3 linked regions of the Ovis aries genome follow. The protein of the gene in region 1 purifies or fractionates together with the protein of each later gene. This does not show direct contact. Links are inferred from orthologs where the notes say so. Each region holds a gene or a part of one and is shown on either strand. Other genes may lie near its edges.

The links.
Region 2: the proteins of CSNK2A2 (region 1) and ZC3H4 purify together in Homo sapiens (affinity purification with mass spectrometry; 3 studies listed by BioGRID and IntAct, with this or other methods). This does not show direct contact. The link is inferred for Ovis aries from reciprocal best matches to the Homo sapiens genes CSNK2A2 and ZC3H4.
Region 3: the proteins of CSNK2A2 (region 1) and PIP4K2C purify together in Homo sapiens (affinity purification with mass spectrometry; 3 studies listed by BioGRID and IntAct, with this or other methods). This does not show direct contact. The link is inferred for Ovis aries from reciprocal best matches to the Homo sapiens genes CSNK2A2 and PIP4K2C.

What each region holds. Positions count from the first base shown.
Region 1 is NC_056067.1:25,628,451-25,632,100, forward strand, and holds part of CSNK2A2 (casein kinase II subunit alpha'), read right to left. Parts: intron 755-3,650; coding exon 653-754; intron 1-652.
Region 2 is NC_056067.1:53,896,187-53,899,836, forward strand, and holds part of ZC3H4 (zinc finger CCCH domain-containing protein 4), read right to left. Parts: intron 3,013-3,650; coding exon 2,916-3,012; intron 2,802-2,915; coding exon 2,662-2,801; intron 2,182-2,661; coding exon 2,074-2,181; intron 497-2,073; coding exon 385-496; intron 1-384. UniProt on the Homo sapiens protein: RNA-binding protein that suppresses transcription of long non-coding RNAs (lncRNAs). LncRNAs are defined as transcripts more than 200 nucleotides that are not translated into protein.
Region 3 is NC_056056.1:162,070,409-162,074,058, forward strand, and holds part of PIP4K2C (phosphatidylinositol 5-phosphate 4-kinase type-2 gamma), read right to left. Parts: intron 3,519-3,650; coding exon 3,421-3,518; intron 2,747-3,420; coding exon 2,650-2,746; intron 2,280-2,649; coding exon 2,136-2,279; intron 1-2,135. UniProt on the Homo sapiens protein: Phosphatidylinositol 5-phosphate 4-kinase with low enzymatic activity. May be a GTP sensor, has higher GTP-dependent kinase activity than ATP-dependent kinase activity. PIP4Ks negatively regulate insulin signaling through a catalytic-independent mechanism.

The sequences.
Region 1 (3,650 bases):
TAATCATAAATACTTAAGGTTAGGTTATTTCCGAGCAGGAGAGAAAACAAAATTACACAGCATATTTTAAATGTCTAAAAATTAAGCATTTTAATAAAAATATTTAAACTGCATCTGCATATACCATGTGAGCCCTAATGGTGGATGCGGAATTAAAGACCAGTATGAGAAACAGCAAGATAGTGACCTCAAGGGGTCTGTGATCTGTTCAGTTCTCCACAGGAAGTGTCCACATGGCCACACTTCCTATCTCCTTCTGTAAACCCAGATTTTCAAATGTCAGGCTTACTTAAGTGAGGTAAAATAATGTTAATTGGCAGTAATAAGCTTTCTAAGTTGGGAGAAAAGCAGGAGCATAAGGGAGCTTTGAAGCAAACGTTTGTGGACTGAATCAAAATAATGAGGCTATAAAACTGGGAAAGGGATTTTTTTTCTACAAATACTTTAAGGTTCCATAAAAGTGGTAGTAGGTAGTTTATCACTGGGCCACCATGATTTTTTCTGGTTTTCAAATCCTTTAGTAGTAAAGACAAACACAATCATTCCCAGCATATTATAACAATGTTTCCCATTATTTTCAGGTTCTCTGTCTCTCATACACACACACACACACCACCCCCCCACCTCTCCCCTTCAACAGCTAGGCACCTACCACAGGGTCCTTCACAGTGTCAATCAGCTTAATGATATTTGTTCCACCACGAAGGTTCTCCAGAATCTTAACCTCTCGTTTTATCTTCTTTTTCTTCACTGGCTTAAATATACAAGAGTAATGAGAAGTAAGACTCCTTTTGAAGTTAACAAATAAAACTTTAAAACACTGTTTCTATCAAATGGCTATTGCACTATCTTGCACAAGGGCATGTCTAAACTAGAAGAGATGGGGGAATAAAATGAGGTTTAAGAGGAGCCTGCCCATAAGAATTTTTAAGATTACATGAAATAATTCACAGACTCATACAGCTTACATGTCAAATCTTTTAAGTAGTTACATTTAGGACACATGAAATTTTGAATGCCTATGTCATACTTTAAAAATAAAATGTTTACTAGTTAACTGCCCAATGGAAAGCGTTATAGCTCTTAACAGCTGTCTATCATGCACTCATAAATGGAAAAACGGAAACAAACTGCTAAGACACCTGCTCTTCCAACGGGTCGCATGTAATTTTGTCTTCTAGGAGTGAAGACCAGTTCACTGACATCAAGTTACAAACTTGTTTCCCAGCTGCTGGCTCCCGTTTCCTGTCACCACTCCCATTTCCTTAATATCTAGACTCTGAAATCAGCTCAGAGCCAGTAAAACTTCCCAACAGACCCCATTCCTAAAGGAAGAGATGATGGATCAGCAAAGGAAAAGACCAATCTCTGACACAGCAGTGACTGAAAACCCCTGCTACCCACTAACCTTTCAATCTGTTGGATAGGCAAACCGGAAACCTTAATCAAAAATGTCAGCATTATGCATGTTATTTCTTGTCATGAATAGGCTAAAGAGTCTGAAGAATAATTAAAGCAGCTCTAGAAAAAAAAGCATTATCACAATCAATTATGCTTTATAAAGTACTTAAACAGCAACTAGTATACAGGAAGCAGTCAATAGATGTTATGTCCATTATTTTCATGTTTCATTCTCACAAAATTCCTATGTAGAAGACTCAGCCAAGTTGAGCTATTTGCCCAAGATCATACAGCTAGCAGTCAAGAGCAGGGGCAGGATTCAAATCTGCAGGCCTCAATCTTCGCCACCGTGCCTTCATTCCCCAAGTGTGGCCATGGGAGGACTGTAACTTAGGAAAAGGAGTACTGCCCCAGCAAGACACTGTTACAGCAGCGCAGGCAAAGACAAAGACGGCCCCGTGGGTTAGCCGTGATGGAAAAGATGGAAAAGACCGTGTCCACGTGGTGGCGGTGGCAGTGGGGTGGGTGAAACACAAGATACACACAAGCCAGAGGAACCAGCATCTCTTGCTGGTCACCAAGCTACAGCTTTGAACACAAACCAGAGAGGAACTGTAAAACACAGAGCACCTGCATCACCTGTAGGAGGGCGCTCAACTGAGAGGCTGGAGTCTGGCTGCATTCTTCCAAGCCAGCTGCCACAATCGCGCCCATTCCACTGTCAGCATTCTCAGTAGAACAGATCTGGCTACTGTGGTTCTTTCTCCATTCCACTTAGGAATTTTACTACTTCCCTTTTTCATAATTACAGAACTCAATACTTTGGAAAAGTGAGGCACTCAAACATCAAGTACAAACTTGGTCAGAAAACAGCCAGAGAAGGACATACTACAAAATAAGTAGTCTACAAGCTTTAAAAATGTTTATGTCATGAAACACACAGACTAAACAAGTACTCCAGATTAAAAAAAATATGACAACTGAATGTAACGCATGATCTGCGATTTTCCTTTGCTATAAAGAACATTACAAGGACAACTGGCAAATGAGAACAGAGGTTGTAGATGCATCAATATTAACTTTTGATTTCTGATCATGGCATTGAGTTATGTAAGAAATTGCTTTTGTTTTTAGGAAATATAGGAAATTAGGGATATTCTTTCAAGCACTTAAGTAAAAGAAATATATATCAGCACATACATACATATCTGTATGTATAACAAGTGTGTATATATAAATAAAAGAGAGAAAAGGATATTTAAGAAATCTGCATGAAAGATACATGGGAATTTTTGCAATTTTTCAGTAGTCTGAAATTTTGTCAAAAAGTTAAAAGAAAAATCAAATGCAAACAGTATATTCAACATAAGAAAATTCTGGGTTTTTTTGTGGCCACACTGTGAGGCATATGAGACCTTAGTTCCCTGACCAGGGATCAAACCTGTCCCTTGCCACAATGGAAGCTCAGCATCCTAACCACTGAATTACCAGGGAAGCCCCAACAAATTCTAGAGTTGTCATCCACTCCTGGAAAGTAGTTACAAATCTGTGGGAGTGGCAACAGAGGGAGAAAAAAAACAATGGCCAGAAGCCTGTGTTCACCAAAAGCCCCCTCTCCCTCTAAAAGTGAACAAGTACAAGGTAACCATTATATAAGCTGCTCCTATGACAACGTCCCATATAGAGCCTTGCCTTGTTCTGTTATTCAGCAACGTATCAGGCAGTTCCTGGATAATCCAGTTCAGATGAATGTATCTTTCACTATGTCTTAAGGTAACTCACAGAACAAGTGAAGCACATTTGACTGCCCAATTGTCACCTGTCAGACTGGGGACAGCAGGACAAATCTAAAGTGGCAAAATGGAGCCACACTGCAGCTGGAGTCCTCACATACTGAGAAAAGACCGACAGACTATAAGAGGAGTGATGAACGGTGCAGGAGGCTCACTCCAGAGCAGGGGCACCAAGTCTCTACAGGAGCCAGGCTTCAGGCAACTCTCTCTAGCCTCAAGCTTACTCCTCTGAACCTGAGAGACCTCCAGAAGCCGAAAAACCAATGAATGCCCAGACATTTATGACCGCAATGATTTACATTCTATAAGTAGAATTCAAGGGAAAAAGTTAGGATTTATAAGGGAGGATCCTTGGCATCTGAAGAAAGATAGACCATGAATTTTTACAGAAATAAGGCTGCTCTAATCCTAAAGCCTACTGTCCACACTCACTCACCACCACTAAAGTGGAAAATA
Region 2 (3,650 bases), about 28 Mb from region 1:
CGGAGGATAGATTATATATAAATTATACTCAGATTTTTGTGTCTTAAGATACAACCAACTGCAGATCCTGCAGTACTGTGGTATTTACTACCAAAAACAACCCACATGAGTGGACCTGCAGAGTTCAAACCCACGCCGCTCAGGGGTCAACTGTGTATGTATGGGGAACACATAACATGCGTGCCTCAGTTTACTCATCTGCAGAATGGCAAGAGCAGACCTGTCGCAGGGCAAAGGTGACGGCTGAAAGAGATGGAGACGGGCAGAGGGCTCTCGGCACCTCCTCGGTGCACAAATGGAGTGCGGTGAAGGCCAGCTGTTAACACCAGTAAGGAGAAAAGGTCTACACCCTCCATGCGCTCGAAGGCGGGCACCAAAGGATATCATGCATGTAGGGGCAGTTCTCGGCTCGGGCACAAAACCCAGTGATGTAAAACTTGCACAGTTCTCGCTTCTTTGGTAGCTCGATGTCGTGGCTAAAATTACAGTGGTCTCCCTGGAAGAGAACCAGTCAAAGGTAAGCTGTTCACCAAGGAAGTACTACTCTGTCACTGGGGAAGCACAGAGGGACCGATGACAAAAATGAACAGTCCCCTCCACACAGCCCCTGGCATTTATTCTGACCCATAATGCAGTTTCCCACCAGCCTGAAACTTCTGCCAAAGCCTGTGCCCCTTTCTCCTGCCCGTGCCCCCTCCCCCTTGTCCTCAGCTACCCCACCCCCGCCACTCTGCTGCCTCCACTGCTTCTAACCCCTCCTCCTGCCTCCCCCCCTCTTACCCACGTACTGCTTTCTGCATAACAGCCAGTGTTCAGTTTCACTCTTCCTTCTTCCTAACAGAACCCCAAGCTGGGGTTAAAATTACTCTATTTCCCAGCTTCCTATGCAGTTCTGCCCAATGAGATGTACATAAAGTCCCAGGGAAGACAATGCTGCCAAGGCATTTTTTTCCCCAACAATTCCTTCCCAGTTTTCTTCCTCTCAGCCCTAGATGTGACGGCACAGCAACCACTAAGCAACCATGAGGACGAAAGCCACATGCTTGAAGATGCCAGCAGAAGAACTAGGAAGGAACCTGGGTCTCCCATGGTGTTATTCATCACTGTACCTGCCCTGTAGTGCCCACTCCCAGACTCTGATCTTTTTATTTTTTGGTCATTTGACATGGCACACAGGATCTCAGTTCCCCAACCAGGCATCGAACCCGTGCCTGCTGCAGTGGAAGCACCGAGTCCTGTTAGGATTGGACAGCCCGGGAATTCCCACACTCTGTTCTGAGAGACAAACGTCTATGGGTTTCAGCCAGTGGAACTGAGCTTTCGGCTATTTGCAAACTGTACAATCCAAACAACAATATCCAGGTGAACAGAAGAAAGAAACTTGAATACCTGGGCCCTCTTTCTCTTCCTAATAGCTATTTATTTTTGTTTGTATGTATTTCAAGTTTCTAAAATGGCATGAATTGTAACTCTGAACAAGGAAAACTATGTATGCACGGGTGATGTGCCAACCTTTGCTTGAAACATAGTAACATTTTTCCCTGACACAGATACATAGGTACAGTATTCCCTGGGAACATGTTGGCCAATATCTGCCCACTGACTGAATCTGAATCTGTGGCTGAACTAACACTGGATTGTACTTGTTTCCTTCAGGACCCTGAGCTCACTGGCATGTCTCTTGGCATAACACTCTGCTGTGAAGGTCGAGGCGGGCCTGATCCCTTCCCACTCCCACCTCTTCGGCCTTGATGACTCCCTCTCCAACATTAAAGTTCACTAACTCGACCAGGCTACGTCACACCTTTGCATTAGCGACAGGTCCAACAGAACATCTGAGGCTCCGTGGATTGGGTGAAAATTTTGGCTAAAAAATCCCCCCAACCAAAATAACACAGGTATGTCACCAATCTCGTCCTGGCTCTTCAATCATTTCCAGGCCCCTGATGCATTTTTCAACCACTCCAAGCCCACCCAAACACTGCCCCAGAGAGTGTGGCCTCCAGAAAGAAAGGAGACCGCGAGGCCCGTGTGTCCCGGCTCCAGGCACCCTGGCCCCGGGACTGCCCTTACCCATGTGCACCGCCCCTCCACGAAGTATTTGCAGATGACTTTGCCTTTCTTGTCGGACTGCTGGTGGGGCTTGTCGTGGTCACTCCTCCGGTAGCTCCCGCCACCATCCTGTTGGGAACACAGAGTGGGAACGGAAAGGAGAATTAAAAGGAAGGGCGGGGAGGGTCTGTGCAGGCCAGGTGGAGTGGACCGTGAGGGTGAGAGGGGCTGACTGGCAGGGCTGACAGGGCACCGACCAGCCAGTTCCATCCGGGGCCCAGGTGGGTGGCTTAGAGCCCCACTGCTCGGAGCTGAGAACACGCATGCCACACACCAGCAGGAACGCATCCGCTCTGAGGCGGCGCCTTCCTGAAGAACTCAGAGAGCAGATGACTGCAGGTGCTACAAAGATGTGGCTTTAAAAACAGAGGGTCTCCCCTGAAGAACATCACCCAGGAGAGCTGATTAGTGCTGAGAGGCTCCCCGCTGGAACGGCTGATGGGAGCAAGGGGATGGGATCAGCCTCAGAAGACAACTCATTTAAAGAAAAAAATTTTCGAGGAGGAGCCTTGAGTAAGAGCATCACGAGGGGACGGAGGACCGACTTACGCCCATGTCGTCGTCGTAGAAGTCTTCGTCGTCGTTCATCCCGCCCTTGTTCATCCCACCTCGGCTGCCTCCTCGACCGCGTCCCCGGCCCATCCCTTTCCCTCGACCTCGGGAACCCCGGCCTCGGCCTCGACTTAACCCTGCAGAAGAGAGAGATGGCGTCCATCCGCAGCCTCTGCCCAGGACCTGAGCCCCGCAGCTGCCAGGGGAGCCCCCGCCCTCCCCGCCGCCTTGCCCTCGGAGCGCCGGCCCACCTCGCCCTCGGCCGTCCTTGGACCGGCGGTACTGGCTCAGCTCCTTGGAGTAGTCGTCGTAGTCCTCATCTCCCATCGGCTCCTCACTCTCCCCATACTGGAGCCCCAGGAGGAGGAAAGCAGGCGCGTGTCATTTGGGGAACAGTGAACCACGTCCTGAACTATACACGCAGCCTCTTTCCGCCTTTTTGTACGCTTGGGACACCACCAGACAGAGGTGGCCAGTGAGTGGCCCAGGACTCCTGCCTGCGCCCCTCTTCACCCGCCCCAGCCTGGGCAGTGTCTGGGTCCTGGTCCTTTCCCTGAGCTCTGTACGCTCAGGGCTCCCAGCCCCTGTCACTCCCAGCTCCCAGGGGACAGCGGTGCAGCTGGAACAAGCAGCGTGGCCAGGCTTCAGGCAGGGACAGAACACGAGTGTGGCAGCTCTCCTGTGTGTGTGTAGGGGGTGAGTAAACAGACGACTACAAAGGCTTCAAAAGCACCCTGGGGAACCCTTTCTTCAGGGATGAGGAACGGAGGCGCCAAGAGAAAGGAGCAGCTGAAGATGTTCGACAGCTCAGCCCTGGGAACTTTTTCAATTCTGAATCTCAGGAAGGTTCTCTCTATTCAAACAACAAAGGAACATTCGTAAACCTGCCATCTGATGCCTTCTTCCCAGCAGCCTCAGGGACCACCTCCAACAGAGCCTATGCCCACCAGCCACGCTCCCCCTGCCCCCGAGCTGGAGAAAGCCTT
Region 3 (3,650 bases), on another chromosome or scaffold:
TCTTTTATGGACTCTACTTGCCCAAGGTTCTGTCCTCAACCTTATTTCACTCTACATTTCCATAATCTTATCTATATTCATGGTGTTAAGTACCATCTGCTGCTGCTGCTGTTGCTTCAGTTGTGTCCGACTCTGTGCGATCCCACAGACGGCAGCCCACCAGGCTCCCCCGTCCCTGGGATTCTCCAGGCAAGAACACTGGAGTGGGTTGCCATTTCCTTCTCCAATGCATGAAAGTGAAAAGTGAAAGTGAAGTCGCTCAGTCGTGTCCTACTCTTAGAGACCCTGCAGACTGCAGCCTACCAGGCTCCTCTGTCCATGGGATTTTCCAGGCAAGAGTACTGGAGTGGGGTGCCATTGCCTTCTCCTAAGTACCATCTACTCACCTGTAACTCTGAAATCTAGACTAGAAAGAAATCTAAAATTAGAAAGAGATCTGATTCTTTCTCCCGAATTGCATACCCTAACCACTCACAGGACATCTGTATCCCAATGAACTGTAGAAACCAGAAACTCAACATGCCTAAATCAGAACTGTCTTCCTCCAAAGACCTGTTTCTTTTCCTGCTTCCCAACTGGGCAGGAATTCCCAGGACTTTGGAGCCCCTTTGCCTTAATTCCTGCAGTTCTCCCAAAGGTCTTCCTTTCCACCTCCACTACCATCACCCTTCCAGGCCCGCGTCATTTCTCACCTGGACTGTAACACTTACCTCCTCACTGGTACCTCCACTCTCAGTGCTTCCCCTCTATAATCCATTCTGACACAGGGCTATTTCTAAATGATATATACATCACTCCCCCGCAAACAACCTTTCAGGATAAAACCCAAACTCTCTGTGTGGCTTATAAAGCCCTCACCACCTGGCTCCTGCCTAACTGTCCTTCTACAATACCTCATCCTGGTCACGTTGAATTTCTTGCAGTTCCGCAACATCAAGCTCATTCATGGCTCTGTGCCTTTACAAGTGCTGCTTTCCTTTGCCTAGAGTGCTCTCTTTCATCATGTCCAATGCCTGGTCCCTACCAGTCATGCATGAATCAACTCCTAGGATACTCCCTCTAAAAACTCTCCTTGAGCCTACCAGGTGCACCTCTTGCCCCGGCTGAGCTGGGATGCTCTTCCTCTACCCACCCAGAGCATTCCCTACATATCTCCACTGCCTGCACACATCGTGCTGTGTGTTTAACTAATGCTAACTTACCAGTCTCTGCCATTAGAACAAGAGATCCTCAACGGCCACGGCCATTTCATTTACCTCTTTCTTTACTGTCTGACATAGGACCTAATAACAACAGACATGGGTTAGCTGTTGAATAACCCAAAACACTTTTGTTTTTGCTAGTACTCTTGCCTGGAAAATCTCATGGGCGGAGGAGCCTGGTAGGCTGCACTCCATGGGGTCGCTAAGAGTCAGACATGACTGAGCGACTTCACTTTCACTTTTTACTTTCATGCATTGGAGAAGGAAATGGCAACCCACTCCAGTGTTCTTGCCTGGAGAATCCCAGGGACGGGGAGCCTGGTGGGTTTCCATCTATGGGGTCGCACAGAGTCAGACACGACTGAAGTGACTTAGCAGCAGCAGCAGCAGCATTGATTTGGATGAGATTTTCCTTCAGTAGAAAGATATTCAGGTCTTTTTTATTCCCAAAATATTCCAGAAACTTCATATTCCAAATTCATCTGCTCAGACAGAATAGCTTCCCTAATCTCTCTTAGGGCTGGTTATGATCATGGCTTCTTCCCTCCAATCTATCCCAATCTATACTCACTGTGGTTTTCTCCCCAAACTGCATTTATTCCTGATGGTACATTTGATGTTGGCACTTTGTCTAATTCTAAGTTAGTCTGAAATTTATACTTTGCTATTCACGTATCCTTTTTGTATCTATCAATTCACAGCGGCTTTAGATTAGAAGCACCAAATGAGAAGGAACATGTCTAAACTCTTATTTAATCAAACACAAATAGGTATGCGAAGCCTCTCTTTTTGAAATGCATTGTTTTTCAAAAAAAATGATGTTGAGTGCTATAGGCTATAGGGAGGAAGAGGGACAGGAAGTCTCCCAGGTGCTCTGAAGCTGAGCTACGAGTAGGGAGGGAACGGGAAGAATGAGGCTGAGAGAGGTCTGACCTGGTGGTAGTTGGACAGGTTGCTATGCATGTCAGCAATGTCCTCACTGGATACTTCTTTGATGACCAGAGTCCGATCATAGGAGATAAGGAAGCGACCATCACTGCCTTCACTTTCAGTTGGGGGACTTCGGGTAAGAGATACCTAGGGACACAGAAGGGGCTAGGAGCTCTTTTCCTCCCCCTTTATATATAGATGCATAGGACAGTGGTCAACTGAACACATCTGAAAGTAGATAAAACCTTGGCGTGAGAGGATGAAAACAAGTTCTAAATCCAGTGTCCATATATAGACTGAATGAAATGAGCAGCAAAATTTTTAATGCATCTACATTTCTCCCCAAGGACAGGCTTTATACCTTTCTTCAGATTTTTGAAGATGCCTGACCACAAGATATTAATGACCACAAAAAGGTAAAGAATACCTGTGAAGGTCCTCATTTCTCCAAACATTACTGTCCCGATTCCCCTTGTTAGGGAGAAAGGCCTACCCTTTCCCCAAAATGGACACTCACCAAGTAATCCTGGTCATCAATACCAAATCGATCACGCAGGTTCCTGAAGACTTGGGGACAATATTCCTTGAACTTGAAATGACTGGGCAGATTTTCCCTGCAACAGGGGTTTTCAAGATAAGAAAACAAAGTAACAATATTATCTTACATTTATAACGGGCTTGACAGTTTATAAAACACCTTCACACATATTATCTTATTTGATTCTCACAGAAGCCATATGAGGTCTTTTATAAGTGTGCTATTCTCGTTTTATAGAAACGGAGACTGGCTTAGGGTGGCTGAGTGACCTGCTTAAACCACATGACTGGTAAGTGGCTTAAGTAGAGCCAGGATCTACTGCCCATCCAAACAGCAGCATTTCCCAAATCTCAAGAAAGTCAGAGACATCCTTAAATCAGCAATAGGTTTTGAATGGTACCTTCTGATACTAGGAGGGCTTATAGGATTGAGATATTTCTTTCGGGGAGTACCTCTCGGAAGCTGATGGTAATGACAACTAAATGTATTTACGCTGTGGAATTTTCAGCTAGAGGAGAGGCAAACTAGTACACATAGACAAGTGTGTAGGGAACACTGGAAATTATTTTAGTGGTTTCTTTAAAAAAAATACTGAATTTCTGCATTGGGAAGAAGTTTAAGCAATAAAACAAGAACTTGTAAGTTGCCTTCTAAATCTAAAACTTTCAACTCATTCAACCTTAACTCTTAAAATGATTTCTTCTCTTTTCTAGGAAGGCTGACAAGAGAAGAGCAGGGATTCCCACATACCTGTGGAAAAGGTGATTGTTGACCTTGATCTTGGAGCTAGCCTTAAAGTCATCTGGCAGCAGCATCACCGGGGGAGGCACCTGGCTGAGCTCATTGATCTGATCAGTCAGAATAAGAATGGGAAGGCAGTGAGGAGGAGTATGGAGAGCTACTTATATACTGTGTCTGGGAAAGAGTCAGAAAAGGGTCACTGGAAGGACTGCTGCTGAAGCTGAAGCTCCAATATTTTG